Macaca mulatta: one gene and its partner. The protein of the gene in region 2 purifies or fractionates together with the protein of the main gene of each other region. This does not show direct contact. Links are inferred from orthologs where the notes say so. Each region holds a gene or a part of one and is shown on either strand. Other genes may lie near its edges.

Evidence for each region.
Region 1: the proteins of TARDBP (region 2) and HNRNPH1 purify together in Homo sapiens (affinity purification with western blotting; 3 studies listed by BioGRID and IntAct, with this or other methods). This does not show direct contact. The link is inferred for Macaca mulatta from reciprocal best matches to the Homo sapiens genes TARDBP and HNRNPH1.

Annotation. Positions count from the first base shown.
Region 1 is NC_133411.1:188,578,646-188,582,270, reverse strand, and holds part of HNRNPH1 (heterogeneous nuclear ribonucleoprotein H), read left to right. Parts: intron 1-419; coding exon 420-575; intron 576-781; coding exon 782-925; intron 926-2,410; coding exon 2,411-2,549; intron 2,550-3,497; coding exon 3,498-3,625. UniProt on the Homo sapiens protein: This protein is a component of the heterogeneous nuclear ribonucleoprotein (hnRNP) complexes which provide the substrate for the processing events that pre-mRNAs undergo before becoming functional, translatable mRNAs in the cytoplasm.
Region 2 is NC_133406.1:229,708,424-229,712,048, reverse strand, and holds part of TARDBP (TAR DNA-binding protein 43), read left to right. Parts: intron 1-1,854; coding exon 1,855-2,018; intron 2,019-3,425; coding exon 3,426-3,566; intron 3,567-3,625. UniProt on the Homo sapiens protein: RNA-binding protein that is involved in various steps of RNA biogenesis and processing.

The DNA.
Region 1 (3,625 bases), on a different chromosome or scaffold from region 2:
AATGAGAAACCGTAATGTGGCTGCTGGTAAGGTAAAACTTGACAAACGCGCCAGACCAGACCAAAGCAACTCGCAACGAAGTAGGTTTGCCATAAAGTCACAAAGTCCAGGCTTGATAATGTTCTGAGAAATTGATAAAAGATGTGTGATGTGGACATAAGTAGCAGGGACTTAAGAGAGAAATTCATTCTGAAACTGCTTTGAATATTGTATGTTGTTGATGGGTTGGAAATACATCACCTTGGGAATGAGGTTTTTTTTTTTTTATTGGAGTTCCAGGAGTTGGTAATACCATCATTATATGCAGGCTTCACAAGTTACGTAATTTGTAGTGGGGACACGGAATAGACATTTAATCTGTGTCACCCAGAGGTGGTTTTAGGTTTTAAATTCCGTATTAACGGTTGTTTTCTTTCCAGACTGCAAAATTCAAAATGGGGCTCAAGGTATTCGTTTCATCTACACCAGAGAAGGCAGACCAAGTGGCGAGGCTTTTGTTGAACTTGAATCAGAAGATGAAGTCAAATTGGCCCTGAAAAAAGACAGAGAAACTATGGGACACAGATATGTTGAAGGTTTGATTTACATTGCCCTAGTTACAGTAAATAAAGCATTAAACAATAGAGGTCTTACCCCTTCTGAATTTTAGGTATTTGACTGCATGGAAATGGTCATCTAAGGGAGTTTGTGGCAGCTCTTCCTAGCTTATCTAAAGACCCAGGAAGTCTGAACTTTGTTACCTAATTTTCCAAAAGTGACTAATTCTAAGCACCTCTTTCAGTATTCAAGTCAAACAACGTTGAAATGGATTGGGTGTTGAAGCATACTGGTCCAAATAGTCCTGACACGGCCAATGATGGCTTTGTACGGCTTAGAGGACTTCCCTTTGGATGTAGCAAGGAAGAAATTGTTCAGTTCTTCTCAGGTATGTAGTCCTGTTTGTTGATGAGCAGTGAGTTTTGGCTAGCTTCTGCAAGGTGATTTAATAGACCTTAAAGTTGAGTAGCTTAGGTATTTCAATAGGTTGTGTAAATTGCCAATGAATTAATGTTTTCTTCCTAGAGACCTTCAAATAATTTAAGCCCATCTTAAAGGTGGAAATGAAGTACTTCCAAAATGTTAACTTTGCCTATATTTAGTATTATAGTTCAGAGTAGATCTTTCATTGAGGATTGCCCTCAACAGCTTAACTGCTTTTCCTCACATTGGTGTCCAGCTAAGTACTTCACGTTAAAGGTAAGATCCCTTAACATCAGATTAGTGTGACGAATTAGGTTGTTGTAAATTATGGCAAGTGTCTGTGTTGTTGCAAGAGACACATTTGGGTCATGTGACCAGAATGGTCTAATTCTCTTTAATGCAGAAGTCGATTTATGAAAGACTTGGTTTAACCAGTGTGATATAAACTTACTGAAAATCAGATGTAGTGAGAGTAGTTTGAATGCTTGTAGTCTCAGTATCTGAAATAACAAAGTGTTTTGAAATTGTTCCTGGGCCTAAAGTATTTGAATGTTTTTATGCTGAAGAGCTGATAAGATTGCATGTTTAACAATGTTAGATATCGTATATTTTAAATAGTAATATTTATGATGTGATACACTGGAAGCAAGAAATCCTTTCATGGTTTAGTGTAGTATGTTAAAAATTTATATATGTATCAAGTCCTAATGTCAGAATTTTAAAAATCAAGTCTTGTTTTGTTTTTACTCTAAATTGGTGAGAATTGAATGCTATCTGTCAACGTTAAATATGAACATAATTTCATATCTTCTAGGAAAGTGCTTTAAGTCCTTTTTGTAAGCTTGGGAATGTATCCACGGAAAGGATTTTTCATAGACGGAATTTCCAGAAGTGAATCATAACTACTGTTAGAGCATAAGCATGCATGATTGTGCTGTGTAGATCAGTTTTGTTGAAAGTTTAGATTGTTATGTTTGTCAATTATAATTTAATGTTTTAGTTTTTATATGAAATGTTTAAATGTATACCTTTTTAAAGACGAAGTTCCAATAACTTAAAGCATTGAAATATAAAATGAGGTAAAAGGTGTTTTGAATTTAGTAAAACTGTTATTTAATGCTTAAAACTTAATTGAATTCTTGTATAATTCTCAACATTAAGTTGCATAGATATGTGTTCTTAAGTTGTTGAATTCTTAATGCATCCTGCGTTCAGCAAGTTTTTTTTTTTTTTAATTTATACTGTACCATGGGTGTGTTAAGAATAGTTATACTTCGTAATAATGGAACTTCATATTATTGCAATGCATATTTAAAGAGTACTTGTTGAAAGCATACCATTCACCTAAAGTTAAAAGTTCTGGTTTATTTAAAGCTATAAGAAGAATCATTTCTGGGCTTGTGATGTTAATATTGCCCCCCTACTGGGGTTATTTGTCCTTGGGTTGAAGGGTTGGAAATCGTGCCAAATGGGATAACATTGCCGGTGGACTTCCAGGGGAGGAGTACGGGGGAGGCCTTCGTGCAGTTTGCTTCACAGGAAATAGCTGAAAAGGCTCTAAAGAAACACAAGGAAAGAATAGGGCACAGGTGGGGATGGATGGTTGGTTGGATATGTCACTTTTCTTATGGTAAACAATTAAATCCATATTCTCTCTGCTTAAAAGAAGAAATTAATGTTTTGTAGTCCTAGGTAATTGATGTTTTGCCATGATTTCCAAACTTTTCTTGTGTCAGTCCCATGTTACACGCAAACTAAATTTTAGGTTTAAAATTTGTCCCTAGTTAATTGGTCTACTTGACAATTTTGTGAGTCTTATTAACCCCAATCAATAGAGTTGAGAGACTATGGCTTTAAAAAATTAATGCAAACCTGGCTTTAGCTGTAATAACACCCACCTAGAGTAAATTAATATTACCATAAGAAAATGTGATACTTTCTGATCTTGTTTTTAAAGTTGAAATGCAACAAACTTTTTCTTGCTGTATATAAATATTCTGCATAGTATTAATAAGCATAGCTTTCAAGAAATTGTCACAAAAGGTTTTATTCTCTTTGCTTGTGACTATTTTTCATTGAAGCATGCGCTTACCTATGCTGATTCTTACTAAAAGCATAGGCTGGGGTATTTATTGGCGAAAGGAAATGTGTAGTGTGGGCTAGACTGTTGGTGGAGGCTGGCTTTTTAGCCCACTTGCTATACATGCTGCCAATGGATTTAAGACTTGAAATGTTGAAAGTTGAGTGGAATTATTTCCCTCCTAGAACGTTTATTTACAGTACTCCTCTCTACCCCTAAGGTTGGGCTCTGCCTCAGGAGGAGTGAGTGTTTTTTTTCTGTAAAGTTTACATTGTCTTACTATTTATTGAGTGAATTTCTGGTCATTGCCTATGCAAATATAAGAAATCTGGCTTTAAATATTAGTCAGTTTCATGGCTATGACTAGATTGTATTTCTTGTGTAACTAAATACCTGTATAAAATGAACTAATGTTGTCTCTCCCCTCCCTACCCCTTCCTTATGAACGATGCTTTAGGTATATTGAGATCTTTAAGAGCAGTAGAGCTGAAGTTAGAACTCATTATGATCCACCACGAAAGCTTATGGCCATGCAGCGGCCAGGTCCCTATGACAGACCTGGGGCTGGCAGAGGGTATAACAGCA
Region 2 (3,625 bases):
AGACCAGCCTGGCCAACGTGGTGAAACCCCGTCTCTACTAAAAATACAAAACTTAGACAGGCGCGGTGGTTTGCATCTGTAGTCTTAGTTACTGGGGAGGTTGAGGCAGGAGAATTGCTTGAACCCAGGAGGTGGAGGTTGCAGTAAGCTGAGATGGTGCCACTGCTCTCCAGCCTGGGCAGCAGAGCGGGACACCGTCTCAAAAAAAAGAAAAAGGGCCGGGTGCGGTGGCTCAAGCCTGTAATCCCAGCACTTTGGGAGGCCGAGACGGGTGGATCACGAGGTCAGGAGATCAAGACCATCCTGGCTAACGCGGTGAAACCCCGTCTCTACTAAAAATACAAAAAACTAGCCGGGCGAGGTGGCGGGCGCCTGTAGTCCCAGCTACTCGGGAGGCTGAGGCAGGAGAATGGCGTAAACCCGGGAGGCGGAGCTTGCAGTGAGCTGAGATCCGGCCACTGCACTCCAGCCTGGGCGACAGAGCGAGACTCCGTCTCAAAAAAAAAAAAGAAAAGAAAAAAATGTCATTTAATTTATCTCTCCAGGCCAGACACAGTGGCTCACACCTGTAATCCCAGCTACTCAGGAGACTGAGGCAGGAGAATCACTTAATCACTTGAACCCAGGAGGCAGAGGTTGCAGTGAGGGGAGATTACATCACTGCACTCCAGCCTGGGTGACAGAATGAGAATCCGTCTCAAAAAAAAAAAAAATTATCTCCCTTTCTCTTCTAAATAACCTAAGGTTAAGGTTGTGTAGGAGTTTTTTGTTGTTGTTGTTTGTTTTTTGAGATGGAGTCTTGCTCTGTCACCCAGGCTGGAGTGCAGTGGCGCGATCTTGGCTCACTGCAACCTCCACCTCTGGGGTTCAAGTAGTTCTCTGCCTCAGCCTCCTGAGTAGCTGGGATTACAGGCGCCTGCCACCACGACCGGCTAATTTTTGTATTTTTATCTATTTATTTATTTTATTTTATTTTGAGACAAAGTCTCGCCCAGGCTGGAGTGCAGTGGCACAGTCTTGGCTCACTGCAACCTCTGCCTCTTGGGTTCAGGCAATTCTCCTGCCTCAGCCTCCCAAGTAACTGGGATTACAGGCGCCTGCCACCGAGCCCGGCTAATTTTTTTGTGTGTTTTTAGCATAGATGGAGTTTCACCATCTTAGCCAGGCTGGTCTTGAACTCTTGACCTTGTGATCCACCTGCCTCAGCCTCCCAAAGTGCTGGGATTACAGGTGTGAGCCACCATGCCCAGCTGGTTATGTTTTTTTAAGTAAGCCAAACTTTTGGTTTCTTTTTCTTTTTTGAAATTAGAGATGGGGGCTCTTGCTCTGTTGCCTAGGCATATTGTAGTGGCTGTTCATAGACACCCTGCAGCCTCAAACTCCTGGACTCTAAGGCAGGAGTTTGTTGGAACTTCCTTCCTCAGCCTCCTGAGTTGTTGGAACTTACAGGCATATACACCACTGTGCCTGGTTTTCCATTTTATTGCAAAAGCTGTGTATTGTCGAATGTTTAGGAAAGATAAAAGTGAAATCTACATCAGGAGATACAAGTTGCTGATACTTAAAGTCAAAGTGAAGTAGAATTATTTTTGTTTTGATAAACCTTTTGAGAGAGATTGTAATCTGGAAGTACTACAAAAAACAAAATTGGAAATCACTGAATTTGCACCAGAAAAGCACCTCAGACACTAAACTTAAGCCTTTATTCTGTCCTCTAGAGCAAAAATCACTTCTTGCAAGTTTTCAGTGTCTTACTCTTCTTAGAGTCTTCTTTTTGCTTCTCATTTCTGGATGTAGGAGGTAGTGTTTTTAAAGAAGTGCTAAGTCTAAAAGGTTTCTGCTCATTTTATTTAGATAACAAAAGAAAAATGGATGAGACAGATGCTTCATCAGCAGTGAAAGTGAAAAGAGCAGTCCAGAAAACATCCGATTTAATAGTGTTGGGTCTCCCATGGAAAACAACTGAACAGGACCTGAAAGAGTATTTTAGTACCTTTGGAGAAGTTCTTATGGTGCAGGTAAACTTCGATTGCATCAAACAGTTTTTCTTTACAGTGAATGAGCATCTGGCATTTATTTATTGGTATACATAGAGATGGGGTCTCACTATGTTGCCTATGCTCTGGTGTTGAACTCCTGGGCTCAAACTGTCCTCCCACCTCAACCCCAGTGTGCTGAGCCATGATGCCTTAGCCACATTCTTGTTACTTTTTTTTTTTTTTTGGAGACCAAGTCTCACTTTGCTGTCCAGGCTGGAGTGCAGTGGCACTATCTTGGCTCACTGCAAACCTCCACCTCCTGGGTTTAAGCGATTTCTCCTGTCTTTAAGCGATTTCTCCTGTCTTAGCCTCCTGTATCTGGGATTACAGGCGCACATTATCACGCCTGGCTAATTTTGTATTTTTTAGTAGAGACAGGGTTTCACCAGTTGGCCAGGCTGTTCTTGAACTCCTGACCTCAGGTGATCCACCTGCCTTGGCCTCCCAGTGCTGGGATTACAGGTGTGAGCCACCGTGCCCGGCCATATTCTTGTTATTTTAATGGCACTGTACTTCCTGTTACACAAATGATACTTCCAATATTTGTTATATTTACACACATATCTTGTACTCTATATTATTACCTTCAATATTGTAAAATCCTGCTGTTGCGTGAAGGCTTAAGGGAATTAGGTGATAATAGCTTTTTATCTTTGAATTCATTCTAAGACATTCTGTTAAAATCCTGTTGTGGTGGCTCATGCCTGTAATCCCAGCATTTTGGTAGGCTGAGGTAGGAGGATTGCTTGAGGCCAGGAGTTCAAGACCACCTTAGCCAACATAATCCAGACTCAGGATTGCTTGAGGCCAGGAGTTCAAGACCACCTTAGCCAACATAATCCAGACTCAGTTTCTCTTTTTTTCTTTTTGGAGACAGGGTCTGGCTCTGTCAGCCAGGCTCTAGAGTGCAGTGGTGCAATTTAGGCTTGCTGCAACCTCTGCCTCCTGGATTCAAGCTATTCTTGTGCTTCAGCCTGCCAAGTAGCTGGGACTACAGACGCATGCCACTATACCTGGCTAATTTTTGTATTTTTTGTAGAGATAGGGTTTCACTGTGTTGCCCAGGCTGGACTTTAACTCCTGTGCTCAAGTTATCCAGCCTCCGAAAGCGCTGGGAATACAGGTGTGAGCCACCACGCCTGGCCCCATCTCTCTTTTTTTTAAGAACTCAAAAACATTTCTGTTGTATAAGTGAGTTTTGCTCTATTGTTAACACGGTATGGATTCAATATTAACCTCCTTGTTTTTACTCTGAAGACTAACTTGGTTTAAGTTTTAAACAACTGCATCCAGTTAAAACCATTCAAATTGTTTTTTAAGGAACTATGATTTGGGCGTGGAATGTGTATGTGTACTGTTAGAGTAAACTTAAATCATCCTTTCTAGGTCAAGAAAGATCTTAAGACTGGTCATTCAAAGGGGTTTGGCTTTGTTCGTTTTACGGAATATGAAACACAGGTGAAAGTAATGTCACAGCGACATATGATAGATGGACGATGGTGTGACTGTAAACTTCCTAATTCTAAGGTACTTGGGTCTGTGCTTTGGGATTTTTTGCTGACAAACTTCCTTAGAAGATTGTAAGA